Oryctolagus cuniculus: one gene and its partners. The protein of the gene in region 1 interacts with the protein of each later gene in a pairwise test. Links are inferred from orthologs where the notes say so. Each region holds a gene or a part of one and is shown on either strand. Other genes may lie near its edges.

Evidence for each region.
Region 2: the proteins of HABP4 (region 1) and RACK1 interact in a two-hybrid assay, tested with the Homo sapiens proteins (2 studies listed by BioGRID). The link is inferred for Oryctolagus cuniculus from reciprocal best matches to the Homo sapiens genes HABP4 and RACK1.
Region 3: the proteins of HABP4 (region 1) and Y-box-binding protein 1 interact in a two-hybrid assay, tested with the Homo sapiens proteins (2 studies listed by BioGRID and IntAct). The link is inferred for Oryctolagus cuniculus from reciprocal best matches to the Homo sapiens genes HABP4 and YBX1.
Region 4: the proteins of HABP4 (region 1) and C1QBP interact in a two-hybrid assay, tested with the Homo sapiens proteins (2 studies listed by BioGRID and IntAct). The link is inferred for Oryctolagus cuniculus from reciprocal best matches to the Homo sapiens genes HABP4 and C1QBP.

The regions. Positions count from the first base shown.
Region 1 is NC_091432.1:141,253,254-141,260,705, forward strand, and holds part of HABP4 (intracellular hyaluronan-binding protein 4), read right to left. Parts: intron 3,252-7,452; coding exon 3,080-3,251; intron 155-3,079; coding exon 1-154. UniProt on the Homo sapiens protein: Ribosome-binding protein that promotes ribosome hibernation, a process during which ribosomes are stabilized in an inactive state and preserved from proteasomal degradation.
Region 2 is NC_091445.1:34,929,226-34,936,677, reverse strand, and holds the end of RACK1 (small ribosomal subunit protein RACK1), read left to right. Parts: intron 1-290; exon of another isoform or gene 291-435; 5' UTR 436-747; coding exon 748-856; intron 857-1,083; exon of another isoform or gene 1,084-1,151; intron 1,152-1,733; coding exon 1,734-1,905; intron 1,906-2,752; exon of another isoform or gene 2,753-2,831; intron 2,832-2,943; coding exon 2,944-3,091; intron 3,092-3,305; coding exon 3,306-3,401; intron 3,402-3,657; coding exon 3,658-3,768; intron 3,769-4,832; coding exon 4,833-4,973; intron 4,974-5,471; coding exon 5,472-5,582; intron 5,583-5,936; coding exon 5,937-6,002; 3' UTR 6,003-6,048; downstream 6,049-7,452. UniProt on the Homo sapiens protein: Scaffolding protein involved in the recruitment, assembly and/or regulation of a variety of signaling molecules. Interacts with a wide variety of proteins and plays a role in many cellular processes.
Region 3 is NC_091434.1:59,354,840-59,362,168, reverse strand, and holds Y-box-binding protein 1, read left to right. Parts: upstream 1-3,115; 5' UTR 3,116-3,130; coding exon 3,131-4,144; 3' UTR 4,145-4,666; downstream 4,667-7,329. UniProt on the Homo sapiens protein: DNA- and RNA-binding protein involved in various processes, such as translational repression, RNA stabilization, mRNA splicing, DNA repair and transcription regulation.
Region 4 is NC_091448.1:50,898,885-50,906,868, forward strand, and holds the end of C1QBP (complement component 1 Q subcomponent-binding protein, mitochondrial), read left to right. Parts: intron 1-3,083; coding exon 3,084-3,177; intron 3,178-4,164; coding exon 4,165-4,260; intron 4,261-4,496; coding exon 4,497-4,619; intron 4,620-4,738; coding exon 4,739-4,888; 3' UTR 4,889-5,107; downstream 5,108-7,984. Other genes in the region: RPAIN (RPA-interacting protein), read right to left, coding at 5,290-5,319, 6,310-6,450, 7,826-7,889.

The DNA of each region.
Region 1 (7,452 bases):
CCCTTCGGATCCTTCCCCGGCCTCCCCGGGGGCCGCCTCTGGCTCCACGCCCGGGACGAGGGAGGTTACCAAAATTAATCTCCAGCTGGGACGTGATGTCATTTGCAGCTTTCCGGAAAACATGGGAGTCGTCCTCATAGTCATCCTTTACCATCTACAACACAGTTACAGCATCACTCGCACAGCCCCCGGCACCCTTGCTGGGCGCTGCGTCCCGGGGAGGAGCCGCCCCACGCACCTGCGTCCCACATCGCCTTTGAACTCAGTTGCTTCAAGGGACACCGAATGTCCATCAGTTTAGCAGGCTAAGGGGCATCCTGCTGTGATTAAAACGTCCTCAGTCCTGCTTATTCCGTCTCATTTGCTCACAATGACGACTTGGATAAATAAGGACACAGCGCCTTCCCAGAACAGCACTTATGGGGAAGTCTGTCATTGTGGGTGCTGACTGCACAAAATACCCATGTGTTAAAAACAGCACGACTTATAATAATTCTCACTCAAAATCTAGAGATATGTTAAAATATAATAAGCATATATGTAAACATATACTATATAAGAAAACCTGTCGGGGGCCGGCACTGTGGTGCAGTGGGTTAAGCTGTTGCTTGTGACACTGGCACCCCATATCAGAGTGCCCGTCTGAGTCCACTTCTGATCCGATTCCCTGCTAATGCACCTGAGAAAGCAGCAGAAGACGGCCCACTGCTCAGGCCCCTGCACCCACGTGGGAGAGCAGGATGGGGTTCCAGGCTCCTGGCTTCAGCCTGGTCCAGCCATCTGGGGAGTGAACCGGCAGATGGAAGACCTCTCTCGGTCTCTCCCTCACTCTCTGTCGCTCTGCCTTTCAAACTAATAAACATACCTTAAACAACAACAACAAAAACCAACGAAACATGTCAATGAGCTTGGATGAGAATCTCCCAAGTGCTGTAAAGGTAACCATTCCTACAGCTTTTTTTTTTTAACTTCAGGAAATGGCATAAAATTTCCAGGAGCATATCAACATCCTTGGGTCCTGTGTTTACTGCAGGTTTCATGTTTAACTCTTACGCCCCCTTCAAACTTTCAGAGTAAAACAAAATACATGGGTTAGGCGGACGGGCCCTGAAGCTGCAACTGAAAGGACCACGCCGGAGCACTGGCCCTGGGGTGGAAGGATCAACACAGAAGAGTGAGGGACACAGCAGCAAGCCACTGCCTCCTCCGGGAAACAGCTGGCCATCAGCATGCACCAACAGGACGTGGGGGTGAGGGCTGCCTCCGGCCTCCCGCCGGCACGAGGACCAGGGCAGTGGGATGCAGGAGAAGTCAGTCTGCGGCTTAGGTTCCTCCCCCAGCTCTGGGGGCCCCAGGGCTCATCTCATGAGGCTGCTGCCAAGGCTACAAAGTTCCATGCGGTCAACACGGACGGCTCCAGTGCTGCTGTCTCGGGGTGCCCAGAACACAGAAAGTAGGTGACCCTCAGAGCTGGCCTATGTTGCTACAAGAACAATCCCTGGATACATCCTCCAGTGCTGTAAGGTTAGCAAGGACCAAACTCGTGAGCTGGATGAAGGCCAAGTTCAATGACTCAGCTAAGGTGGCTGCTTCAGATGTTCCGAGAGCCCTGAGCCGGGGAGCGAATGTGATGCGGACCAAGGAAGGGCTGCACGCTGCACATCCTGCCAGCTCTTTCACGTCAGCCAGCAACCAGAACGAAGCAAGAAGGCACACAGGTGAGGGCCAGGCCCCACGCGCTGCCAGATCTGTCACAGCCCTCACACAGCTCCCCAGAGGGGGCTCTGGCTTCCTCACCGACAGAAAGCCGGTCCAGTGAATTGGCTCCGGAGTCACCAGCCGGGCCTCCAAGGGCTCAGATTGACCAGAACGGATGGGTGGCAGGGGACACTGTCACAAATGACCCTCAAATGAAAGTGGAGACACAGACAAACCCACATCGATGCATTCCTGACGAAAACCAGTAAATGGCCCCCACAGGCAGGAGGCGTGTGCTGTCACCACCACCTCCGTGGTGACTGGCCGTAAGCTATGACTGCGTAGTACCAATCCCAAATTCTGTAATTTAAATCTCTCGGTGAACCCCTATGGCACATAACTTAAACACAATGTGCTATTTGCCCTGAAACGTCTCCTTTCAGAACTTGAGGCATCTGGTCCGGGGCGGGTGTTGTGGCGCAGAGGGCTGAGACGCTGCTTGAAATGCCCGCATCCCGTTAGAGAGCTGGTCGGACCCAGCTCCCTGAAACTGTGCCTGCGAAGGCAGCAGCACATGGCACAAGGACCTGGACCCCGTCACTCCCGTACGGGAGACCCAGATGGGGCTTCAGGCGCCTGGCCCAGCCCCACGTTGCGGGCATCTGGGGAGTGCATCGATGGCTGGGAGACCAATCTGTTTCTTCCCTTCATCTCACTCACTCTGTCTTTCTGTTGCTCTACCATTCGAGTAGACACACACAAAAAATCAACATTAGGAAAAAAAAGGACCCAAAGCCTCCCCTGAGGACTGAACATGCCCGGCGAGGAAGAACAGAGGAGAAGAGGCCGTCACACACGGGAGCTGCCTGGGCCCCGCTCGCAGCAGAGCCGGCTGCTGAGCAAGCTGACTGTGCCGGCTGCCGCTACCTGCTGTAGCTTCTGCTGGGAGGCACGGGGCGCAAAGCTGCCGAAACAGCGTGAAAAGGGCAACACGGAGCCCAGAGCTGCCACTGCCAATGAAGTGCTCTTACCGAGAACCACAGCGGAAAGTCACCTAATTACGAAAATGAAGAGCAGTTATCCTTTGAAAAGCATCACACAGGAAGGAGTCTTAACTCTCCCTTGAGATAAAAATGAAACACAATGAGCACACAGTATTTGCCGTCTCAGCGCAGCCCCAGGGTGAGCAAAAATGCACCTCCTTTTCTTGATAGACAGTAAACACAAAGTAAAATTAGACACACATCACCTCTGAGCACTCCTAAGTAGAAAGGAGAATGCTGACTACTAATGTTGCATACTAGAATGGAAGCGGACAGGCCCATTTTGTGTCTAACCGAGCAAGAGTCCAGGCCCCTCTACGGATGAGACGCAGACTTACATCATCTCTGTATTTTGACTTGTGAATCACCACTGCTTTGGAAGGGACAGTGGATTCTGGCTTCCGGATGTTAAACTCGGGCTTTGGTCTGGTCTGTTCTTGAAGATTCTTCCACTCATCTAAGGTCATCTCTTGAACTTGAGTTTCTTCTTCTACCTCCAACTCAGGAACTCTATAAGATGAATAGTCATAAAAAATAATTTTGACAGGGCTGAAAGGTCTACTTCATCAAAGACAGAGTTATTACCAAGAGCTGAGCACACTTTTGTGGTGGTGTATCTCAAATGTAAATAAGGTAAGAAAATACTTGAATCATAAGCTCCTGTATGCTAATTCCGTCATTTTATGCTATCATTTCCAACCAAAGATACTTCCTGCGTTCAAAGCGGTCTATGAGAAATGGGAACATCACCATCCAAATGACATTACCGTTACACTTCCCTACCAGTGCTCCCTTCCAGATGGCACTGCAGACAAAATGAGTAATTGTGGAAGAAAATAGTAGAAGCTATTGAAATAAACTGTAGGAAACCATGAATGGAAGTTTTAAAACAGTGGCTCACAAATGTATATTTTTGTAAGTATCCTTTTTAAGTTAATCAGTTTTAAAAACAGAAAGCTGACATATGGATCGATAGAAAAGATTCAGAATCCAGAAATAAACTCTCACATCTGTGGTCAACTGATTTACTTATACCAGGTTGCCAAAGGCAATTAATTCAGAGAAAGAAACAGTGACAAGCAGTGCTGGGATAACTGGATATCCACATGTACAAAAATGAAGCTGGACCCCTACCTCACACCATAAACACAAGAGCTACCAGTATAATATCTTGACATAAAACATAGGCATAGGGGTCAGAGTTGTGGTGTAGTGGGTAAAGCCACTGCCTACAATGCCGGCTACCCAAATGGTTGCCAGCTTGAATCCCAGCTGCTCCACTTCCCATCCATCAGCGGAGGACGGTCCAAGTCCTTGGGCCCCTGAACCCATGTGGGAGATCCAGAAAAAGCTCCTGGCTTCTGGCTTCAGTCTGGCCAAGCCCTGGCTGTTGTGGTCATCTGGGGAATGAACCAGCAGATAGAAGATTTCTCTCTATCTCTTGCCTGTTCCTCTCGCTCTGTAACTCTGCCTTTCAAATAAACAAATCTTAAAAAACAAAACAAAACAAAACAAAAAAAACCTTCGTAAGAGTAGATTAGCAATGGTTTATTCCATATGACATCAAAAGCATAGGTAAAAAAAGAAAAAGCAGATAAACTGGACATCATTAAAATTAAAAACTCTGGTGCTACCAAGGATGCCTCAAGAAAGTGAAAACACAGCTCAGAGAAAGGATAAAATACTTCCAATCAGAGATCACCCGGAATTCATAGCGAGTTTTTTCTATGTTGAGATAAATGACTCAACTAAAATGAGGCAACAATCTGAACATTTTCCCAAAGAAGATGTACAAGTACCGGGTAAGACGTGCTACATCTGGAGCCATCAGAAGTGAACATCAAAACCACCATGAGCTACAGCACTCCACAACAGAACACTTAACAAGTCCTGTCGGGGATGTGGGGAAATCGGAGCCCGTACGCCTCACGGGTGGGATGTAAAATGGTGTGGTCAGCGGGGAGAACAGCCTGGCAGTGTTCTAAGAATCTAGAGTCAGTACCCCACGCAGCAATTTCACGCTAGGAAAACATACATGCACATGAAAACTGGGACACAAATTGTCATAGAGTATTATAGGTGAAAGCAACCTAAATGTCCATCAATTGATGAATGGATACACTAAATAGGGTATTCTGGAATGGACCTTGAATACCTGATGCCAAGTGAGATAAGCCAGGCACAACAATACTTCTGCCTGATTCCATATAGATGCCATGTTCAGAAGGGGCAAATTCAGAGAGACCAAGAGCAGATCGGGGGCATAAGGGGCTAGGGGAGCGGGGCAGGGGGAGGGCCTGGTTTCCTTGTGACAAAAGCATTCTGGGACGGGATCATGGTGATGGCTGCAAACCACTGTGAATGTGCTCAAAGCCACCGAATCACAAACTTTAAAAGGATTAAAATTGTAAACTTTTTAAGTATTTTACCAGCCCACAAAAATCAGGCAAAAAAGAAAAGTACGGGCACACACCACATCATATATAAACCTCAAACATTATGTTAAATAAGAAAAACAATTAAAAGACTCCTCTAATGTAAACAGGAGGTACCTCTAGAATAAGCAACTTCACAAAAACCAAGTAGAACAGAGGCCACATGGGCTAAGGGGAGGTGATGTGGAAGTCCGTGTTTAATGGGTAGAGCTTCCATTTGGGGTGGTAAGTTCTAGAGGTGGCTATACATAACGTGAATGTAATTCATGCTAGCAAATTGTATATTTTAAAATTGTACAAATGGGGCTGGCGTTAAGCTACTACTGCAACACCAGCATCCTGTATGAGTGCTAGTTAGAGTTCGCACTGCTTCACATAGGATCCAGCTCCCGGCTAATGAGCCTGGGAGAGCAGCAGCAGATGGCCCAAGTACCTGGGCCCTTGCCACCCACGTGGGAGACCTGGATGGAGCTCCAGGCTGCTGTCCTCAGCCTGGCCCAGCAGTCGCTGTGGCCACGTGAACGAACCAGCAGATGGACAACCTCTCTCTGCGTCTCTCGGTCTTTCTCTGTAACTCTTTCAAATAAATAAACCTTTTTTTTTAAAAGGGTACACATAGCGATTTTTATATTATTTACATTACCATAATTTTAAAAAATTGATGTAATATCCTCAAACCATGGAATTGTATACTTTAAATGTCTGGGTCATAGAATATGAGAATAATAAAGTCGTTTAAAAGAGAAAAACAGCAAGTAGGGAATGGGGAGGTCATTACAAACATACCTTCACTGCAGGGCTAACGTAATTTAAGGATTTATAGATATCTATACAGGTTAATAACATGAGAAACACAGCAAAAAGAAGGCAGAAGTTAATCACAGAACATCCAAAATAGACACATTTGCACAACATTAAAATACCTGGTGCTAAGAAGGAAAAGAAAGCAGTGGCTGCCCTGAGGAGCAAAGAGGGGCTTCCTGCCAACTGGCAGTGCTCTGTACACCGACAAGCATGGCATGAGTCAGCACAGCTGTGCACCCAGCACTGGGCATTCACACTGCAGTGTCTGTGTATACTAACAGTGCGGCATGAGTCAGCACAGCTGTGCACTCGGCATTGGGCGTTCACACTGCAGTATCTGCACACTAACAGTGCGGCATGAGTCAGCACAGCTGTGCACTCGGCACTGGGCGTTCACACTGCACTGTGTGCACACTAACAGTGCGGCATGAGTCAGCACAGCTGTGCACCCGGCACTGGGCGTTCACACTGCACTGTGTGCACACTAACAGTGCGGCATGAGTCAGCACAGCTGTGCACCCGGCACTGGGCGTTCACACTGCACTGTGTGCACACTAACAGTGCGGCATGAGTCAGCACAGCTGTGCACCCGGCACTGGGCGTTCACACTGCACTGTGTGCACACTAACAGTGCGGCATGAGTCAGCACAGCTGTGCACCCGGCACTGGGCGTTCACACTGCACTGTGTGCACACTAACAGTGCGGCATGAGTCAGCACAGCTGTGCACCCGGCACTGGGCGTTCACACTGCACTGTGTGCACACTAACAGTGCGGCATGAGTCAGCACAGCTGTGCACCCGGCACTGGGCGTTCACACTGCACTGTGTGCACACTAACAGTGCGGCATGAGTCAGCACAGCTGTGCACCCGGCACTGGGCGTTCACACTGCACTGTGTGCACACTAACAGTGCGGCATGAGTCAGCACAGCTGTGCACCCGGCACTGGGCGTTCACACTGCACTGTGTGCACACTAACAGTGCGGCATGAGTCAGCACAGCTGTGCACCCGGCACTGGACATTCACACTGCAGTGTGTGCACACTAACAGTGCGGCATGAGTCAGCACAGCTGTGCACCCGGCACTAGACATTCACACTGCAGTGTCTGTGTATACTAACAAGTGTGGCTTGCTTTCCCAGGCCATAGCAGAGAGCTCGATGGAAGAGGGCCAGCTGGGTCCCGAACCAGCACCCACACGGATGGCACTACTTCAGGCCAGAGCGTTAACCTGCTATTGCACAGCAGTGGCCCCTATATGTATTTTTTAAAAAAATTCCAACATACATCAGGAAAACACAGGAATAGAAGCTATTTTAAAATACCATATTTTTCAGACTTAACTTGGGAAACATGTTCATATTTTACTTAATTATAAAAGGACTGAGTTAAAATTCAATCTCTGAAATTTGAAAGTAAAATAAATCAAATTCACCCAAATATCAAGTTGGCGACATGACCATGAAGAGAAA
Region 2 (7,452 bases), on another chromosome or scaffold:
TTAACCAACACCATCAGAGACAGCATAAACTTCCCGCATGAAAACCCTTGGCGCTTGGAAATTTGTTAGTTCTGGTAGTTCATTTGAGCAGTTGTTTTTTTCTTTTTTTTCCACATTAAAATCATAATTCAAGGGGCTCATCCTACAGTAGTAGCTCCCAGTCATCCTGGTCTCTTGATATGGAACTTACAGCTCCGGAAATATGAGAACACAAATTTTGATGAAACAAAACAAAACAAAAAAAGAACTTAAACTCCTTCCGCGTTGCCAAGTCACCAGACGGAAAGGGTGGTGCTTGCTCCATGCCATCAGTAGGCGGAGATACCCTTAGGCGAGCCTTGTGTGGGACGTGCCGTACAGTTAACTCTTGTGTCATTTCACGCTCTAATGATTATCTGCAGAGCCTTTTTAAACATCTCCTAGTCTCTGTTTCAGAAAGTATTTGTACGGAGCAGCTATATTGTGGTACGTGGCAGAGGGGGCCACAGAAGCAAGTTCATCTCGCCGGTCGCGCTACGTGGCGCCGCCATCTTGAGCAGAGAGGAATCATGAGCGCCGCCCTCTTGAACAGAGGTGAATTATGGGCCACGCCATCTTGCGCGAATGTGAGGATATTTCCGCTTCCGGCAAGGGGCTGTTCTCTCTTTTCCTCGGCAGGGCCGCGGCGGGAGTGGCAGCGCTGCTGGGCTCTCTGTGCTATCCGGTGCCATCCTCGTCGCTGCGGCGACACTCGCACCCGCTGCCGCCATGACTGAGCAGATGACCCTTCGTGGCACCCTCAAGGGCCACAATGGCTGGGTTACCCAAATCGCTACCACCCCGCAGTTCCCGGACATGATACTGTCCGCCTCTCGAGGTTAGTACCCGGTTGTGTGTGTCGCGGGGTTAGACTGGGAACGTGTTATATGACGGATCATAGATCCCTCTGCGTGTTGGGGAGTGCGGACCCGAGTCTCTGTCTCATCCCGGGGGGCCCACGTTGCAGATAAGACCTGGAGGTGTTGTCAGCTCGTGGCTGCCAGATTTGTTGGAGGTTGGCTGGCAGCTAAAGCTGAATGTGCCCAGGAGCCTACAAGGCCGGGCGGGGCGGTGATGAGCCCAACATGCCATCTGAGTATCCATGCAGAAATCCAGAGGCTGTTTCTGAGCTGCCGCCCGGCTCTTAGTTCGCTGGGTAGTGGGTGGACTGCAGGGAACCTTGTGGCTCAGATTTCCGATCTACATTTTCTTTCTGCGAATATCCACCCCATTTTCTCTCCATGTAGACCTTATCGAGTTTGGAGGCGTGTTCTTAACAGCTTAAAAATCGTCGAAAGTTAGGAATAATAATTAGAAATGGTCAGGAGCCCTCAGATACAATGGTACTTGTATCGGTTTGTAGGAGGAGAAATTTTAAGAGGGGGGCGCTAAAATGACTTAGTTAATTTTTCCACAGCTTTCTCAAGCATTCTGGCAAGATACAAAATATATGTTGAATTAGTTTGAATCTCAAGAAGGGGTAACCGTATTCTCTGACACCTGGGTTAGATTTTCGTGCTACAGTTTAGGCCCACCTGCCTGTTTTTTGGAACTGTTGGCCACTGGGCCCTGGCAAATAACCTACAGTTTGTTTCCTCTCGAAGTGTCTTTTTAAGTGTTAACCTACATATGATTTTGTAACATCTTAAATTTTCAATAGGGTCAGCAAGTGGGCTGCAAAGTTCCTCACCAGTTTCCCTTTTGTCTTTCTTTAGACAAGACCATCATCATGTGGAAGCTGACTAGGGATGAGACCAACTATGGCATCCCGCAGCGAGCTCTTCGGGGTCACTCCCACTTCGTTAGTGATGTGGTCATATCTTCAGATGGCCAGTTTGCCCTCTCAGGGTCCTGGGACGGAACCCTTCGCCTCTGGGATCTCACAACGCAAGTAGCTGCTCACCTAGCTGTGGGATCTTGGGGAAAAGCTGGGAAGAAATGAGGTAGATGGCAATTGGGAGGTTATCTTCCAGGAGAAAGTTGAAGTATAAAGTAAAAACTACCTACAGAAGATAGTTATTCGGGCCCCCTCTTAATTTTTTTTTTTCTAAGATTTATTTATTTGAGAGAGTTAGAGACAGTGAGAGGGAGGGACAAAGAAAGGTCTTTCTTCCATTGGTTCAGCCCCCAAATGGCTGCAGTGGTCAGAGCTGCGCCTGTCCAAAGCCAGGAGCTTCTTCCTGGTCTCCCATGTGGGTGCAGGGGTCCAAGCACTTGGACCATCTTCTGTGGCTTTCCCTGGCCACAGCAAAGAGCTGGATTGCAAGAGGATACCCTGGGACTAGAACCAGTGCCCACATGGGATGCTGGCAGTGTGTCACAGCACTGGCCCCTCAGGGGGCCCTTTGATTTAATTATGGTTGCTGAGAAGTAGTCTGGTTGAATTTTTGAGAAAGGTGTTCCTTTTTCCATTGGTCACCCCCCAAGTGGCCACTGCAGCTGGTGCACTGTGCCAATTGGAAGCCAGGAGCCAGGTGCTTCCTTCTGGTCTCCCATGGGGGTGCAGGGCCCAAGGACCTGGGCCATCCTCCACTGCCTTCCCGGGCCACAGCAGAGAGCTGGACTGGAAGAGGAGCAACCAGGACAGAATGCAGCGCCCCAACCGCGACTAGAACCCGTGGCGCCAGCCTGGTTGAATGTTTTTATAGGTGTAGCAATTTGGAGTAGACAGCGGTTGGAACAAGTTTTATCTTGAATTTCTGTTCTAGATAAGCAGTTGGCAAGTATAATGGAGGATCCTGGTGATGACAGATGACATTGTCAGCCAATCCCCATGTGGGAGTGAGGACATGTCCTGCAATTCTGAAGGGATTCTCTGACATAAACTCGGAAAAGACTTGTTAGTGATGCAGTCCACCGGGATGGGGCGAATGCCAGAAAAATGTTGGTAAAGTTTGTCTAGAGTGACAGAGCTGTCTTTCTCAGGGGCACCACCACAAGACGATTTGTAGGCCATACCAAGGATGTACTGAGTGTTGCCTTCTCCTCTGATAACCGTCAGATTGTCTCTGGATCTCGAGATAAAACCATCAAGTTATGGAATACTCTGGGTGTATGCAAATACACTGTCCAGGTAAAGTGAAGGCAGCAAACACATGTTCAAGGTTCCCATGCACCCTTTCTTTTAACCTTTGCCTTATGTGTTGACTAAAGAGATTCTGTTCTTCATGGTTCAGTTAGGAGATGTGAACACAGTACTGCCAATATCCATTCCACCGAGATCAGGGATGGAGTTCTATAGTTTAAGATAGAAATGTTTTCTCTTACTTCCTTTCCATTCTCTGCAGGATGAGAGCCATTCAGAGTGGGTATCTTGTGTCCGCTTCTCGCCCAACAGCAGCAATCCTATCATTGTCTCCTGTGGCTGGGACAAGCTAGTCAAGGTGAGTTTTGAGCTGGCATAGAGGGCTTGTACAAGCCAGAACCCCTTAGGCATTGTGGATTCCTTCAATTGACTTTTCCTCTTGTTGGATTTACTCAGTACAGACCATTGGTTTTTGACAGTTGGTCTTAAATAGCTAATTGATATCCCTTAAAAGCTTTTAAACAAGGTGCCAAGCCTTTTGCTGGGCTTGACTCTTCTCAGTCCTGGCTGATACGAGCTAAATTGTTCACCTGTAACCCCACCCATTTACACAGGTATGGAATCTGGCTAACTGCAAGCTGAAGACTAACCATATTGGCCACACTGGCTATCTGAACACTGTGACAGTGTCTCCAGATGGATCCCTTTGTGCTTCTGGAGGCAAGGTATTTGGGGGCCAGGAGTCTCAACCAGGGGGACAGTCTCATAGAAAGAATACCTTGGGGCCGGCGCCGTGGCTCAGTAAGCTAATCCTCCGCCTTGTGGCCCCGGTCGGGGCTCGGGATTCTGTCCCAGTTGCCTCTTCCAGGCCAGCTCTCTGCTCTGGCCCGGGAGTGCAGTGGAGGATGGCCCAAGTGCTTGGGCCCTGCACCCCATGGGAGACCAGGAGAAGCACCTGGCTCCTGGCTTCAGATCAGCGCCATGCACTGGCCATTGGAGGGTGAACCAACGGCAAAAGGAAGACCTTTCTGTCTGTTTCTCTCTCTCTCACTGTCCACTCTGCCTGTCAAAAAAAAAAAAAAAAAAAAGAATACCTTGGGTCTTCGACATAAACTATAAACTAAGTATTAGCCAGGTTATTCAAGAGTATGTTTCCAAAGGTCACTTACTGAAAATTACATGGGTGAGACATACTGTTCAAAGGAAAAAAAAAAATGTTTTCTCTGTAAAGTTTCTTGAAGCAATTGATGGATCCTGTTTGGAAATGATCATAGTGATTTTTTTGATAACCCATCAGAAAGTTTATGGGGCTATTGATGTCCTCTGTTAAAGGAAAAGCCTGTAGATATAAATATTGGTAGAGTCAGTAGCTTTCAAGAAAGCCAGGGTACTGAAGGATCTGATGGGCAAGAGAGTTTTGTGGCACGGCCCATTAAGCTGCTGCTTTGAGATGCCCACATCTCATATTGGAGTACCTAGTTCAAGTCTCAGCTACCTTCTGAGACACATCCTGGGAGGCAGCAGATAATGGTTCAAGTAGTTACATCCCTGCCATCCATGTGGGAGCCCTGTCATGTTCCTGGCCTTTGGCCTGACCTAGCTACAATTGTTAGTAGTATTTGGGGAGTGAACCAGCAAATAGAAGATCTATCTATTCTCCTCTCCATCATTCTGCCTTTCAGATGACTAAAATCTTTAAAAGCACATTGATGACAAAATCCTGAGGTGGGTGGGATTGACATCTGGGAGAGGTTACATTGTGCTGCTGACTCACCTTCCCTATCTGCAGGACGGGCAGGCCATGCTATGGGATCTCAATGAAGGCAAACACCTTTATACTTTGGATGGAGGAGACATCATCAATGCTCTGTGCTTTAGCCCCAACCGCTACTGGCTCTGTGCTGCCACAGGCCCTAGCATCAAGATCTGGGTAAGCATGAGATCGAATCCTGGCAATGTGACTTAACATGCCATATGGGTTTGATGCTGGGAGTCCCACATACTAAACAAATGCTAACCATCAAGCTGTTGGTGGAGACCTAGAAAAGTTCCCTGGATTGGGATTATTAATGGAGGGGAATATTTGCTTACTGAAAGGGGTGATTATGTATGGCAGAATACGCAGCCTCTGCATAATGGCTTTTTGGTCTGTGTAATTGTGTAGTGGGTCTGTTTAGTGTTAGCATCCCTGACATCTATCCACAAGATGTTGGTAACAGGCCATGTAACCTCTTCCATACCTAGTAGTTGCAACTGAAAATGCTTGTAGGCAATGCCACATGTCCCCTTGGGCAAAATCATCCTGTTGAGACTCTATTTATAAAAAGGGGCTTTTGAGAGGGGACCTCTGTTACTGAGTTTCTTAAAAAGTATCACTGGTATAAATGTATTAACAGTATCCTCACCCTGGTTTTGACCTATTTCTCAGGACTTAGAAGGCAAGATCATTGTAGATGAACTGAAGCAAGAAGTTATTAGTACCAGCAGCAAGGCAGAGCCACCCCAGTGTACATCTTTGGCCTGGTCTGCTGATGGCCAGGTAAGTCTGACTTCTCACTTAACTCACCTTCCAACATTTCTTCTCTATACTGCTATTTTTGACATAAAGGAAAGTGATTTTTTTAAAATGGCTTGGATGATCAAGAAAGAAATGTGGAATGCATGTTCCTTTCAACTGTGATGTGGAGGTAGTGATTAGCCTTCATTTTTATGCACTGATACTAATTTGATCAGTTTTAAGATGATTGTATTCTTATCAACAGCTGTTTCTTCCTCTAAGAATAACAGCCACCAGCTACAGTCTGGTCATTAGAATTAAGGTCCTTTAAAGAAAAGCCCTCTTTGTTGCAGTGGGACGAAGTTCACAACTCATCCTGTCATTTCTCCCTTGCAGACCCTGTTTGCTGGCTACACAGACAACCTGGTGCGAGTGTGGCAGGTGACCATCGGCACCCGCTAAGCATTTTTGGCATGACTATGACAATAAATTGACTTTGACTTATGTAGCAATTGTGTTTTTCTGAGAAACAGAAATGTTCCATGTTAGATTGGTTTGTCATTTCTCCAAAAGGTTTTTAAAAAATTTGAAAGGCAGAGTTAGAGAACAAGGTCTTGCATTCCACTAGTTCACTCTCCAGTAACCAGGTCCCAGGGGCTTTATCCAGGTTTCCCACGTGGGTGCAGGGCCTCAAGGAATTTGGTCGTCTGCTGCTGCTTTCTCAGGCACATTAGTGATGTGCTGGATCGGAAATGGAGCATACAGGACACAAGCTGGTGACTCCAATCTGGACTCTTCAAGATTTCTTTGAAAGGTAGACAGGGATACCTCCTATTTGGTGTGGGTGGCAAAATCAGTACTTAAGCCATCATCAGTTGCTTTCTCAGGTGAACCGCCAGGCAGAGTGGTGGGGCCGGCGCTGTGGCACAGCGGGTTAATGCCCTTGCCTGAAGCACTGGCATCTCATGGACACCAGTTCTAGTCCTGGCTGCTGCTCTTCCAATCCAGCTCTCTGCTATGGCCTGAGATAGTAATGGAAGATGGCCCAAGTCTTTGGGCCCCTGCACCCACGTGGGAGACAGGAAGAAGTTTATGGCTCCTGGTTTTGGATCTGCGCAGCTCCAGCTGCTGCAGCCATCTGGGGAGTGAACCAGTGGATGGAAGACCTCTCTGTCTCTACCTTTCTCTGTAACTCTTTAAATAAATGAAATAATTCTTAAGAAAAAAAGAACTGGAGTGGCACATGAACCAGCATTTTAATAAGGGGTGCTGGCATTACTTTTTCTGTAAAGATTATTTGACTTAGCAGGTGGAAGAAAACCACTTCTGAGTGTCTGCTCATTTGAAGGAATAAGACTCCACAAAAGAAGCAAATAAACATTTTATTTCTGCAACACAAACAACCTTCCCTTTCCCCAAGAACATGAATTGACCTCAGCCTTCCAAGCAGAGGACAAAAGCTGATAAGTGACAGAAGGCAAGGTGTTATTAGAAAAATAGATTATACCCAAGGCTCTCCTCCCAGGGATTTGAACCCCTTGTCCCCATCCCTGGCTCCATGTTAGGGCTTGCCAAAAAGGGAACTAAAAGGCAGAGAGAAGTTGGAAACTAACAGATGCAATTCCAGTGAACAAAGGGGAAAGTCTGGCAGTAAGTAGACCTGGAAGGGCAGGATGGTCCTAGATTCGAGTGCTAAAAAAGGAAGAGGGAGAAAATAACTTACTGGGTTATAAAATGGTATGTAGTTTCAATTGTATCAACCATTCCAGATCTGTCGCCAAAGCTAAGTTCTGGTTGGTTTGTGGAGGTAGAAAATGGGGATGGAAGGAAAATAGAATCCCTCCAACTTCCCCAGGAGAGTGGGTATTTCTATACCCAGCTCTACCCTTTTGCCCAGCCTGCCTCCCCAAAA
Region 3 (7,329 bases), on another chromosome or scaffold:
ACAGGTAGAATGACTAGACCTGCCCAAAGCCAGGAGTCAGGAACTCCATCTTCGTATCTCCTGTGGGTGGAAGTGACTCAAGCACTTAGGCCATCATGTGTGTAGCCTCCCAAGTGTACATGATAGACAGCTGGATTGGAAACAGAGCTGGCACTTGAACCCAGGTACTTCAACATGAGATGCAGGAGTCCCAAGCAGAGGTTTAAGGCTAGACCATTTCTCACAAATTTTCTAACCTTCCTGTCTTCCTAATCTCCTTGAGTTCGCCCATCCATTCTTCCTTCTGTCCTTCCTTCCCTCTCACCCTCCTTCCCTGAGAATTTCAAAACCAAGTCCAGAACTTTTGAAACCAAGCATCAAGTACAAGTAGATTTCCCTGAAGGTTTTGCCTTTTTTTCTTTTCTGTTTACATTTTTGTAATGTTCTTGTTTTAAAGATGTTTAAAATGGTATTAAACAATAGTGATATCTTTTCAAATGAATCTAAGAGATTCATTGAAAACCATAAAAGTGGAGAATTTTCTTTCCTTATTTAATGTTACATTTTAGTAGTAGGCTGTGGGGAGCAACTCGGACTATACTGTTACTGGAATTAAGACTTATTCTATACATCTGCTCTCCCACAATATGGTGCTGGGAGAGGAGCAAACAGCTTCTACACAGCTGCTACTCACCAACTTGACAAGCTGCAGGAGCTGCTCCTGATTGGAGGAGAGCAGCGTGCTCAGCGTGTGGGTAGCAGAGTTGGGATTGGTGGAAGAGGACTATAAAGGAGGAGAGAGACAACATGCACCAGGAACATCTAAGAGGAACACCTGTGCAGCCCCCGAGAGAGCCGGCCGGCGGTGTGCCACTCCCCCGCGGAAGTGGGGAAAGTGGCAGGGGGAACCGCCCTTCCACGGAGGTGGGAGGGACGGTAGCCAACCTGGGAAGAACCAGCAGCAAACCCGGGGAGGGCCGAGCAGACAAAAGAACAGTGCAGGGTCTAGTGTCGTTCCTCCACGAAGACGGGGAGCGACATAATGGTGCCGTGACTCGGATATGAAGCCTAGGCAGGGTTTAGTGTCATTCCTCCATGAAGGGGGGAGCGACATAATGGTGCCGTGACTCGGATAGGAAACCCAGGAGGGAAGAAATGGGAAGAAGTGGGAAAATACCGGAGAGAGAGACTAGAAGAGCCTAGGGAAAAGCCGGACGGAAAAGGTGCCGGAAGAAGCTATTGAAAGCCTAGGCATAGACTCGGATACGGACTACGAGGGGAAGCTGGGAGAAATCTCTAAGGTTGAAAGCGAAAGTGAAAGCTAGAACAAACAAACTTGGATACGGACTGTGGGGAGAAGCCAGGAGAAATGAAAGGGGAATATTGTTGGAAGAAAAGTTAGGAAACATACCGGGTAGAGAAAAATGTTAGGGAGGATGAAGCCGCAGGGGCAGGCCGAGGTGGAGACGTAAGCTAGCTTGGAATTCTTCAAGTCAGCCCAGGGAGCAAAAGGCGAAAATCTGGAACCAGAGGCAGAGACGTGGGCCGCCAGGTTGGAATCCGTCAGATTAGCCCGGGGAGCAAAAGACGGGAAGCCAAACCGAAAGGCGCAGACGTGAGCTAGGTTGAATTCGCCAAGTTAGCCCAGGGAACTTAGACTGAATACCGGTGGCGGAAACGTGAGCTAGGCTGTGTGATTTGCGGAAGCTGCCGCGCGCAGAGAGAGCGTGCGGGGCACGAATAGATAGGGAACGTGGGGCTAGCGCAAGGCTGTGGTACGGGTGTGAAGGGGAGCGGAGACCGCGGAGCATGCGCGAAGCCGGGAAGTGGCACAGAGCCGGGAAGCCGCTGCGGGGCAAGGTGCCAAGAAGCAGCCTCGGGGCGGGCGCCGGGATGCCGCAGGGATAAGAGAAATAGAAGTATAGAAGTAAAATGAGAGAAATAGGAATGCTGGCAGATAGAAGTAAAATAGGAGAAATAGGAATGCCTGGAGATAGAGAAATAGAAAGGCCTCCCCACAACACGGCAATGAGAGAGCTTGGATTCGGTCTGCCTGATTAGTAAGACGATAAGCACCTGTGAGCGGCTGCATGTCACCGAAGACAGGCACGTTATCAACACCAATAAGTCTCCCCACAAGACGGCGATGATAGGGCTTGGATTCGGTTTGCCTGATTGGTAGGGCTTGTAAGCACCTGCAGGCAGTTCTAGCAGAGCAGAGCATGCGCTGCAGGGCACCGAACACAGGCACGCATCAGCGCCTAAAAACCTCACAACATGGCGAAGAGAGGACCCGGATTCGGTTTGCCTGATTGATAGGACTTGTAAGAACCTGTGGGCAACTCCAGCAAGCAGAGCAGAGTGTGTGCCACGGGGCACCGAAGACAGGCGCGTATCAACGCCAAAAAATAAAAAGAAAGGGGGATCTGTGGGGAGCAACTCAGACTAGACTGTTACTGGAATTAAGACTTATTCTATGCATCTGCTCTCCCACAATATGGCGCTGGGAGAGGAGTAAACAGCTTCTACTCAGCTGCCTCCAGTTCAACCAATAAACAGCAGGACCTGCTCCTGATTGGAGGAGAGCAGCATACTCGGCGTGTGGGTAGCAGAGTTGGGATTGGTGGAAGAGGACTATAAAGGAGGAGAGAGACAACATGCACCAGGAACATCTAAGAGGAACACCTGTGCAGCCCCCGAGAGAGCCGGCTGGCGGTGTGCTGCTCCCCCGCGGAAGTGGGGAAAGTGGCAGGGGGAACCGCCCTTCCACGGAGGTGGGAGGGACGGTAGCCAACCTGGGAAGAACCAGCAGCAAACCCGGGGAGGGCCGAGCAGACAAAAGAACAGCGCAGGGTCTAGTGTCGTTCCTCCACGAAGACGGGGAGCGACATAATGGTGCCGTGACTCGGATATGAAGCCTAGGCAGGGTTTAGTGTCGTTCCTCCATGAAGAGGGGGAGCGACAGTAGGCTGAAACAGTAGTAGATTATTTAGAAATAGAATTAATGTTGTGTAGGATTATTAATAATGCTGATATTTTGATACTTAAAATGGAAGAGCACTAAAGATAAATCATTGTATGAGGCAACCTCAAAGTTCATGGAAAGTGGAATTTAAAGAGAAGTATCTGGGTACAAACATGTTTGAAATGCATGTTTTTAAAAATAATACACATAGTTCGATCGGTAGCGGGAGCGGAGAGCGGACCCCAGAGAGCCCTGAGCAGCCCCACCGCCACCGCCGGCCTAGTTACCATCACACCCCGGGAGGAGCCTCAGCTGCCGCAGCCGGCCCCAGTCACCATCACCGCAACTATGAGCAGCGAGGCCGAGACCCAGCAGCCGCCCGCCGCCCCCGCCCTCAGCGCCGTGGAAACCAAGCCCGGCACCACGGGCAGCGGCGCAGGGAGCGGTGGCCTGGGCAGCCTCACATTGGCGGCGCCCGCCGGCGGGGACAAGAAGGTCATCGCAACGAAGGTTTTGGGAACAGTAAAATGGTTCAATGTAAGAAACGGATATGGTTTCATCAACAGGAATGACACCAAGGAAGATGTATTTGTACACCAGACTGCCATAAAGAAGAATAACCCCAGGAAGTACCTTCGCAGTGTAGGAGATGGAGAGACTGTGGAGTTTGATGTTGTTGAAGGAGAAAAGGGTGCGGAGGCAGCAAATGTTACAGGTCCTGGTGGAGTTCCAGTGCAAGGCAGTAAATATGCAGCAGACCGTAACCATTATAGACGCTACCCATGTCGTAGGGGTCCTCCACGCAATTACCAGCAGAATTACCAGAATAGTGAGAGTGGGGAAAAGAATGAGGGATCGGAGAGCGCTCCCGAAGGCCAGGCCCAACAACGCCGGCCCTACCGCAGGCGAAGGTTCCCACCTTACTACATGCGGAGACCCTATGGGCGTCGACCACAGTATTCCAACCCTCCTGTGCAGGGAGAAGTGATGGAAGGTGCTGACAACCAGGGTGCAGGAGAACAAGGTAGACCAGTGAGACAGAATATGTATCGGGGTTATAGACCACGATTCCGCAGAGGTCCTCCTCGCCAAAGACAGCCTAGAGAGGACGGCAATGAAGAAGACAAGGAAAACCAAGGAGATGAGACCCAGGGTCAGCAGCCACCTCAGCGTTGGTACCGCCGCAACTTCAACTACTGACGCAGACGCCCAGATAACCCTAAACCACAAGATGGCAAAGAGACAAAAGCAGCCGATCCACCAGCTGAGAATTCGTCCGCTCCCGAGGCTGAGCAGGGCGGGGCTGAGTAAATGCCGGCTTAACATCTCTACCATCATCCGGTTTAGTCATCCAACAAGAAGAAATGAATATGAAATTCCAGCAATAAGAAATGAACAAAAGATTGGAGCTGAAGACCTTAAGTGCTTGCTTTTTGCCCATTGACCAGATTACTAGAACTATCTGCATTATCTATGCAGCATGGGGTTTTTATTATTTTTACCTAAAGATGTCTCTTTTTGGTAACGACAAACGTGTTTTTTAAAAAAGCCTGGTTTTTCTCAATACACCTTTAAAGGTTTTTAAATTGTTTCATATCTGGTCAAGTTGAGATTTTTAAGAACTTCATTTTTAATTTGTAATAAAAGTTTACAACTTGATTTTTTCAAAAAAGTCAACAAACTGCAAGCACCTGCTAATAAAGGTCTTAAATAAAAAAAAAATAATACACATTATCCATGAACTTTTTGAAGATCCTTTGTACAGAAGCACAGGGTGGTAGTTGAGGGTATGAGTTTGAACCCTTCCTCCCACTCTTGGTAGTGTGATGTTTGTGTCCTTGTTTCAGATTCCCCATTTGTAAAGTTGGAATGATGATAATACATATTTCATTGTGATGTCATGTGTAAGAATTGTGAATAGTAAGTGTATCATAATTATTAGGGATTAAAGAGTAACTTTTCCTCTAAGTTATGCTTGCTAATATGTCAGTTGGGCTATATTTTTCTGCTGCAGTTATTAAAAGGACTTGTGTAGAGCTTTTGTAGGATTTTGAAGAAGGAATAAAGATCCCTCGCAGAGACCTTGAACCTAGAATCAAGCTCACAGTGACCCGGTTTTTGTAGAGTTCTGAGGTCCACTAGTGAGTCAGGATCAACCTAGATTTATGAAATTGCAGCCATGGAGTGTGACACTACTCCCTAAGAACATTTATCTCTGTGTTGAACTTCATACTAGACTAGAATTAAATAGAATAGAAGTAAAATAATAGAGGACAGAAGTGGTTGGCCTTTGTAGGCTGTTATTGTGTATGAACTAAAGAGCGTGATTATTAGTGGTCATTGGATTTGGATAAGCCAGTCTGAGACCATGATACTAAATTTTTTTTTCAAAATAAAATATTTTGATAATTTTGATGTTTAATACATTTTACTCTTGCTTGCCACCGTACAGGCTGGAGGAAAGGTCTTGGGAATTTTGTGCTTTCACATCCTGTGTGACCTTTAAAACTTGGCATTTTACTTTTCACTACCCAAAATTACTTGCACGTCTATTAAATTTCTAAATATCAGTTATCATTAAGAAACGCCACCACCATGCTTAATTACTTGTGTAATCAAGGGAGATAATATAATATAGTAAATGTTAGTCTAATGGATTTAGGGCTTGCTAGGAAAATCTAAGAGGCCTTTTGGATTAAAGACCAAAAGGCCGCTGACCAAACCTCATAGTACTGGGAGCGCCCTCTGCTGGTCATGTCCAGATCAACTTAATGTCTGCACCTTGTGGAGCAGAACTATTTGCCATTTATTGAACACCTACTAGGTGCCAGGCAGCTTACACCACAGGCATAAATTTGTGTAATCCTCATAGCTCTAGAATGGTAGTTTTTAAGATATTGTCATATTTGAGTTGATTTGATCCCCTTAAATCCTGTGTATTTTTTTAATCTGTTTATATAGGTGAAGATATTATGAAATCATTTTCACTGAGAAGTTACTGCTTCTATAGAAAAGATATCTTGAATGAGTGGCTATTAATAAAACAGAATGAACTAGAGTCATGAAGTTTTCCAGTTTATTTTAAGAAAAACCTGAGAGTAGGAGGGAGGAGTTGAAATGTGTGAGAATCAACTTACGATAAACGAGAACCTCAACTTAAAGAAAAAGAAGTCACTGAAGTAAGGGCCTTCCCTATTTTGTGGACTGGAAGACAAGTCGGGAGTTTGGAAGGATCAGATCAGTGTGTGTCTCCCCTTAGTCAGAAAGCCAAGCTGAGAGCACAGTGACGCAGGCAGGAGCACCAGACATGTGCTTGCATCCAGAAGTCCCAGGCTTCCCCGCAACAGACTGTTTCACTCAAGCTGGCCACAAGTTCTAGAAAGAAGAACCTAAGTCTGACCTTTGTCACTTCTCCAGTGGAAATGCCAAAATATCAGGAAGTGATCTGAATGGAGGAAAAGGTCAGGGCAACACAGAGACCAAGTGAGTGATATTTTCCTGGAATACTAGCAAGTCGGTGCTACAGATGATGCAAGTGAAATTGAATCCAGTGCATTCCTATGTCTGAATCATTTGTAAGGCTATAGAGTAGTGGCAAGCAGCTTAGAGATCAAGGCATTAATTTTATTCCAGTCTCTTCTATTTGCCAGTCTTTTCTATTTGGATTTGGCCAAGTTATTTGACTTCTTTTTAAAAGATATTTATTTATTTGAATGAGAGGTAGAGAAAGGGTAAGTAAGGGAGAGAGGGAATGCAAAAGGGAGGGAGGGAGAGAGAGTTAAAGAGAATGGGAACAGGAACCCATCTCCCATCTACTGCTTCACTCCCTAAATGCCTGTCTGTAACAGCCAGGCCTGGGCCAGACCAAAACCAGGAGCTTGGAACTAAATTCAGATCTCGCACGTGGGTGTCAAGGACTTGAGACATCAGTCCTTGACAGGTCCAGGTACTTGAGACATCATCTGCTGCTTCCCAGGGGAGCTGCAACTGGAAGCAGGGCTGAGACTGGACCAGGCCGTCAGAGATGGAATGCGGTGTCCTAGTCATCTGCCCAAAGCCTGCCACTTCTTGCCTTATTGAAGACGCAACTTTATCATCTGTTAGCCAGGACGGATACTACAGTCCTCCGCTGCTCCTGGGAGAGTGAGTTGTTGTGCATGCTAAGGCCTCCCCAGCAGCAACGAGCCACGCCAGTTTGGGAAAAAGGAGGAATGTCATGATACCTGTGCCACTTAGTAATCTCTTTGTGTGTTCCTTAACGCAATAAGGATGACGATGTCAACATGAACTCAGGTGTGCGTGTTTCCCCACCAAGCGCGTCACGATCCTTCCCCTCACAATCCTGCAGAAGCCGTGAGAGGAGCCCCTCCCGTGGGCCCCCCGAT
Region 4 (7,984 bases), on another chromosome or scaffold:
TTATGTGGATATGCTAGATTTTATTTATGTAAGGAAATGGGAGACAGACCAGAGGAGACAAGATACGAAGTCAACGGCCAAAATCAATTAAGAAGAAAAATGGGAGCCAGCGCTGTGGCATAGCACGCTAAGCTGCCACCTGCGGTGCCTGCATCCCATATGGGTGCCGGTTCAAGTCTTGGCTGCTCCACTTCTGACCCAGCGCCCTGTTTCTGCTCCTGGGAAAGCAGCGGAAAATGGCTCAAGTGCTTGGGTCCCTGCACCCACATGGGAGGCCTGGAAGAAGTTCCTGGTTTCCATCTGGCCATTGTAGCCATTTGGGGAGTGAACCAGCAGATGGAAGATCTCTTTCTAACTCTGTCTTTCAAATACAATAAATAAATCATAAAGGAAAAAAAAAAAGACAAGTGAATTTGCAAAGATGGCCAACCACTGGCATGCGCACAGACAGAACACGTGGCCGAGAGAGCAGGAATTTATTTACGGGCTGGATTTAAATAGCATAGGCCTGATAAGGGCCATGAGGTGCAGTGGAGCTGAGCTAGCTTTTCTATGGAATGCAGAATGCAGAGGGTAGGGTGGGCAACAGTACAGGGCGTAGGACTGAGCTGGTCTCTTGAAGGAAGGTAAAGGGTCCCTCAGGCAAAGAGCCACAATGCCTGAGGCTCATGTCCTTGTTCTGTCAGTTATCCATTCATTTGTTGGCAGGCATTTGACAGGGTTCTATTTACTTTGTGATTCTGGTTTTTTATTTATTTATTTTTTTAATTTTATTTATCTGACAGATAGTTATAGACAGAGACAGAGAGAAAGGTTTTCCTTCCGTTGGTTCACCCCCCAAATGGCTGCTACGGCCGGCGCTGCGCCAGTCCGAAGGCAGGAGCCAGGTGCTTCTCCTGGTCTCCCATGGGGTGCAGGGCCCAAGCACTTGGGCCATCCTTCACTGCCTTCCCGGGCCACAGCAGAGAGCTGGCCTGGAAGAAGGGCAACTGGGACAGAATCTGGCGCCCCGACCGGGACTAGAACCCGGTGTGCCAGGCGCCGCAATGCAGAGGATTAGCCTATTGAGCCACAGCGCCGGCCTTTACTGTCGTTTTGAAAGACAGATAGCTCCCATGTGCTACTTCACTCCCTAAATATTGAAATGTCCAGGTATAGGCTACGCTGGAGCTGGGAGCTGAATCCAGGTTACCAGGTTATTGCCTTAAAGGTGGGCTTTAGATATTCTGGGTGCAGTTCCCCTTATCAGACACAGGGTGTGCAAGTGTTTTCTCCCATCCTTGGGTGTTTTTTTCCTTTCCCTATGTTATTGGTATTGACATACACTTTTTTTAGTTATTGTTTGACTACACCAAGTGAACTATTTTTTTAAAGATTTATTTATTTATTTGAAAGAGTTACGCAGTCACTCCCCAGTTGGCCACAACGACCAGAGCTGTGCCAATCCAAAACCAGGAGTCAGGAGCTTCTGCGTCTCCCACATGGGTGCAGGGGCCCAAGGACTTAAGCCATCTTCTATTGCTTTCCCAGGCCATAGCAGAGAGCCAGGTATGGAGTGGAGCAGCCGGGTCTCAAACTGGCGCCCATATGGGATGCCTGCACTGCAGGCCAGGGCGTTGACCCGCTGTGCCAAAGCACAGGCCCCAACATACACTTCTAATTTTGATGAAGCTCAATTTACTGGGTTTTGTTTTTTGTGTATGTGGGCTTTTTTTTTGTTTTTTTGTCATTTGTGCTTTTTTGACATCACATTTGACAAACTGTTGGGTAACCAAAGTTTCTAGATATTTATGCCCGGATTTACTTGTAAGAGGAGTTTAGCTCTTTAGGCCCGTGATCACTTTGAGTCAACTTTTGTGTACAGTGTGAAGTGTAGGGTTCTGATGCTTTTTCCCCTAGGGTGCAGGGGTTTCGCCCATACACAGTGTCAGTTGACGACTGAAGCTTCACTTGAACTTTTCTTCCGGTTTTCGTAGCCAGTTTGGGGCCGTTAGAAATGATACCCTGATGAACAGTGCTGTGTTTCTGTGTCGAGGAACTCAGCTTGGTCAGCGTGGTTGCAGATAGTTTCTGGGGCTGAGCCTCAGCCTGCCGCTGTTGCCTTGGGAAGGAGCAGCCCGTTAGCTGAGCAGTGGTGTGCAGGGTGCGGGGTCTGCGCTGCCCAGCCACACCTGGTCTACCCCACTGTCACAGGGATTGTGACTCAACCTTCGGAACATGGAATGTCACGAGGATTCTTGTACCTTACGGTTGTCATGTGTTGGTGTTCCAGCCCGTGGGATGAGTCCACAGTGAACGCACTGTCCTTTGCCTGGCCTTGTCTTCCAGGGCGCAGGCCTGCTCTGAGTCCTCAGGTGTATCCCCGCAGTGTGCCTTCCCTTCCTCCCAGCGGCAGATTTTGTCATGGAGAAAGCTTTTTTTTTTTTTTTTCTTTTTAAAGACTTGTTTGTTTGAAAGGTAGAGTTGTAACTCCGGTTTACTCCCAGATGGCCACAACAGCTGAGGCTGGGCCAGGCTGAAGCCAGGAGCTTCCTTCAGGTCTCCCTCATGAGGGGCAGGGGCCCAAGCAGTAGGGTCATCTTCCACTGCTTTTCCCAGGCCATTAGCAGGGAGCTAGCTCGGAAGTAGAGCTACTCCACGAACCAGTGCCCGTATTGGATGCTGGCATCATAGGCAACGCCCTATCCTGTTGTGCCACACCACCAGCCCCGAGAAAAGCTCCTAGAGGGGCTTCTGTTCCATCCCCCCAGCTTCTTATCTGCTCACTTTCACGATACCCCACCCCAGTGAGCAGTGTCAGCTGGTGGTAGGTAACCAGCAGGCGCTAGCCTGATGGGAGGAGCTGGTGCATGGCGTCATCACTTGGAGCTCTGCACATGGAGGTGTGCTGGAGACCTGCTCCCTCTTAGGGCTGGATGTGGGTACCCAGCCTCTGTCCACTTCTGCCAGTGTAGACTGTCAGCTGGTGAAGGGGAAACATCGTTCCTATCAGATTGTTTCTGTGTAGCAGGCCTCCATACCTAACGGCTAGACTACTCCACTACAACTGGACCATGTCTGTTGCGTTTCTTTTGACTTTGTAGGATCACTGTCACTTTCAACATCAACAATAGCATCCCACCAACCTTTGATGGTGAGGAGGAGTCCTCCCAAGGACAGAAGGCTGAGGAACAGGAGGTAAGCTCGTAATATCGTGCCCAGTCTGTGCCTCAGCTCCCCCAGGGGCCTAGAGAAACACCAGGTTTTCTTGTTTTTGTTTTCAAAGATTTATTTGAAAGCAGACTGACAGGGACAAAGATCTTCCATCCTCTGGTTTACTTCCCACATGGCTACAGCAGTCAGGGCTGGGCCAGGCTCAAGCCAGAAGCTCCATCCAGGACGTCACCCATGTGCCAGGCCCATTAGCAGATAGCTGGACCAGGAGTGGAGGAGCTAAGAGCCTGTGGACAGGAAGCAGAACTGAGTCCTTCCCATGACGGGGAGATGTGTGCTATCAGAAATCACCGTTTTCTTTTCCCCGGGGGAGGATGTTCCTAAGTCAGAAGCTGGTGGAAAGCACCAGTCACCTGGCCAGAGTAGGAAAGCCAGGGGCAGCAGAGATGGCATCACTTGGCCAGGTGCGATCTTGGCTTGCCGGCCGTATCGGTGGGAGCTGGGGGTGTCTGGTTTTCTGACATTTTAGGAAGTGGTATACTCAGCCCGGAAGCCCGCCAGTATGAAGGCCAGAGGGTCTCTGACCTTCTGACCGAGTTGTCTCACGCGCCTGCAAGGAGAGCCCAGCTCCCTGAGCGCTTCCATCTCAGCCGCCTGGACTGGCAGCTCCCTGACTTTGGGCTTGGTCTGCTCCTGTCACTGAGGGCCGGGCACGCCAGCCTCTGACCTGGGCTGTAACAGACTCCTGAGACAGCCAAGCCGGAAAGAGATCTTGGCTGTGTGGCTGGCTTTGCAGTGTGTGGGTGCAGAAATGGGTTCAGGAAGTAGAGAGATCTGAGTCTCAGTTGAGTGCATAGAGCTGGGGCTGGAATGCAGGTTTAAAGTGAGTGTAAAGGGCTAAATATCATCCTGACAGGGGTGGCCATCAGATGCTCAGAAGCGTTGGAGGCCTGGCCTGGGCTCTGACCCCTTCCTATAGTGGCACACGCAGACGTGTTTTTGTTTCCTCAGCCTGAACTGACATCAACTCCGAATTTCGTGGTTGAAGTTATAAAGAATGATGGCAAGAAAGCCCTCGTACTGGACTGTCACTTCCCGGAGGATGAGGTGGGTAGAACGGAGTGTGGGCCCTTGACACCCAGGGAGATGAGGGGTGCCTCCTGGGACTAGCAGACACCTGTGGGAGACTGTGGCTTAGAGCAGCAAAGCACGGGAGACAGGTGGCGCGTGGAAGTCAGCTCAGGGTAAAGCTGGGGTTTCACACTAGAAGTGCTCCCTTTTCCGTGCACCTGTCTGGCTTGTCCTGAAAAACCCGTGTTTCCTGGAACACTGTTCCTTCCCAGGTCGGACAAGAGGAGGAGGCTGAGAGTGACATTTTCTCCATCAGGGAAGTTAGCTTTCAGGCTTCCGGCGAGTCTGAGTGGAAGGACACCAACTACACACTCAACACAGACTCCCTGGACTGGGTGAGTGACAGGGTGGGGTGCTCTTGGGCCTTGTAGGGGAGCGTCCTGCCTTGTTCAAGGAGAGAAAGCAGCATTGTCATTAGTGGGCATTACACAGTGTAACACACTGTTTTCCGCAGGCCTTGTATGACCACCTGATGGATTTCCTGGCAGACCGAGGGGTGGACAACACTTTTGCAGATGAGCTGGTGGAGCTCAGCACCGCCCTGGAGCACCAGGAGTACATAACTTTCCTTGAGGACCTCAAAAGTTTTGTCAAGAGCCAGTAGAGTAGGGACAGTGAAACTTGTCTGGCAGGCTGTGGCCAGCGAACAGAACCTGCTCTGACCCCCAGACACCCGTGCGTTGCGACGGTTACCATCCCAATATCATGGAAAATAACATTTAAATTATTACTGTTGCACTCTCATTTTTTTCTGTACAAACTTATTCTAGATTTTTATATAACATACAATGATGGACAATAAATTTGGTTTTATCTCCTCCAAGGTACTTCGTTTTTTCTGTTCCTTGACTTTCAACCTAGACCACGAAACAGCAAGAGCAGAGGTGTTTGAAAAGTTTTAATACAAAATAAATTATAAGTTAAAGGTTGCTATGTACAAGGCCTCTGCTGGAGAGGGAGTGAGTTGTGGTCGGCCCAGGAGAACGGTGCGAATGCAGGCCAGCTCTAGACGATCACAGCCCAGGTGTCACAGGCCTGGAGTGAAACAGGACATATCTGTTAGGAAAGTTACCCACATCCGTGGCCAGAAGCTGCAACCAGTAATGACACTGAGGCAACAATTAGAATGTCTACACCCTGGACGGTGCTGGTCGGCTTCAGTTACAAGTGGGAATGAGTTCAGCCAGAGCGGCTGGTCCTCAAAGGGGCTGCTGGTGGACCGACCTCCCAGGCTTGCTGGAATGTCTACCTTTGACTGTTCATCCCTGGGAGCCTGATGAACCACTGTGCTTCCTCCTGTTTCTCACCTCCCCTCCAAAACGCCCAACAGTGGGCTCGCCCGTCCTGGAACCAGCTCTCGCTATGAAATCCATACCTCAAGTTTTCATAATACATGTTTCCCATGAACTTTCTGAAGACCCCTCGTGCACAGATTTTAGACATTTTTGTGCCAAAATAAAAATATTTTACTTCCATACCCTATGAACTTTCTGATCACCTTAATATATGTGTGTGTATATGTATATGTAATATATCACTTATAAGAAATAATGGTTCCTGTAGCAAGCTTAAGGCGTCTAAGACAGGTGGCTCCAGTACCTCCTTGTGTAGTCCTGTCCCTCACACCTGAGTTGCCAGACACTAATCCTTGGACTTCTGAAGACTTGCTGAAAGGTGGCCCTGCTGTGCGTCCTGTCCTGTACCCACCTGCAGGGGTGTCAGGGTGACCCACTGGGTCTTAGGACTACCGAGCTGACTACACAAGCACAGTGCAGGTGGGCTCCCTGACCCTCCCCCACCCCCACCCCCACACTCCTGCCCCACTCCTAGGCTGCCTCTTCCCCTTCACACAATGATTGGCCTCCAGCTGAAATGACTTGTGGCCTTCACAGTTCTGTGCCAGCAATTCCTCCAAGAAAAAAAAAACTGCATTAAACATTGACCTGTTTGGGAGCCATTATTTTTACTAGAGTGGGAAGACAACACTGAGCTGCTGGTAACCACTGGGTCCCAGGAGAGACTTACCAGACAGCTCATGAGAAGACTGGGCTTCTCCTCTGTTCCACCGGTGACTGAAAATTCAGGGGTGTGGGGACAATGGGTGCTGTGCTCATTCACGCTGTCCTCTAAAGACGCTCGAAGCATCTGCTCCGTCAGCTCTGGAGACTAAAAAAAGTTCGACCACAACCGCGTCTTAGTTACCTGACAGCTGACAGGCTGAAAATCCTGGTTTCTCTTGCTAACCAGCGTAGCACTGGCTCCCTGGGATGGCTTCCTCCCCCACAGTTGGAGATCTGCGTGGGCTCATGGCTGCTGGGAGGATCTCTGAACCAGTGTCCACTCACCACCTCTCCAGATTGCCCAGGGCACCCCCCGTTCCTGAACTTTGAGAGCTAGGAGGACAGGTCCCGGCCTCGGCCCCTGCCCCTCCTGGCCTGGTGTATCCTTGCCAAGAACTGGCAGCATTTGCTCCCAGAGATCTCACTGAACCTGCTGCCACTGCAACTCCGATGGCAACCAGTAATAAAGGGGATGGAAATCAAGTTTCAGTTTTATGATGAGAAGCAGAAAGTTCAGGAAGCACTCAAAAAGGGAAGTTGCTTTTGAAAAAGTTGGGTGGGCATTTGGTACATTGGTTAAGATGGGCCCATCCCATATTGGAGTGCCTGGTTCGGATCTGCTCCCACTCCAACTCCCTGCTAATTCACACTCTAAGAGGCAGCGGATGGTGGGGCACGTAGTTGGGATCCTGTCATGCACACGGGAGACCTGAACGTTCCCAGCTCCTGGCTTGGGCTGCTGGGAGTGAACCAGCAAATGGGGCTGGCTCGTGCTTGCTTGCCCGCTCTCCCTCCCTCTATACACACACACACACACACACACACACACACACATTCACACATTTATATACTTCTGCCAATCAATTTTTTTAAAAGCTGTTGAAATACATAAAAGATGGGAAAAAAGAAAAAAATCCTACAGTTGTATGACTAGTTGCTTTATCCATTGCTAACAAACAAGAGTTTTCTATGTAGAAACAATGACTCAGCTCCCCAGCACAGCCCCACTCAAAGACTGGTAAATAAACTTAAGAGGTGTCAAATTTACCGTGGTATGTTTCATTTTTATAATTTTCCACTGGAACCAACGGCTCAACTCACTGACTATTTGCAGTCCCCATGTCAGGTAAGAGACCACCTCCCCTATTTTTAAAGATCACCAAAACTTACATTCTGAATGGAAGTGTGTCTTCACACAGGAAATTTTAATGAAAGGTCACATACGGGCATTTCCAGTTCTAAACTGGGGTCTCTCTTAAGCAGTGCCAGCGCTCTAGGGGAGGAGCCCGTGGAGATCTGTGAGGTTTGCCAGTTTGCACACCATATGTACTCTCACCACATTCACCATATGTGTGTTGGACTGCCACCGTGACATCCCTGAACACTAAGCTAGGAAGAGATGGGCACAGTGGGCTCCAGCCCGTCGCTGGGGGCTCTCCCAGGAAGCAGATCCGTGTGGGAACTCGGGGCAGAACACTTACGTGAGATGGGATGGACAGGCCACAATGGCACGCGACCACGCCGCCCGTTATTCTCAGGTTGTACCTAGAAGCAGAATGGGGATTCCAGAGCATCATGGCCACCAGATCTGGCTCCCCAAACCTTTCCAACGCCGGGGAGAGACCGCACTCACCAACAGT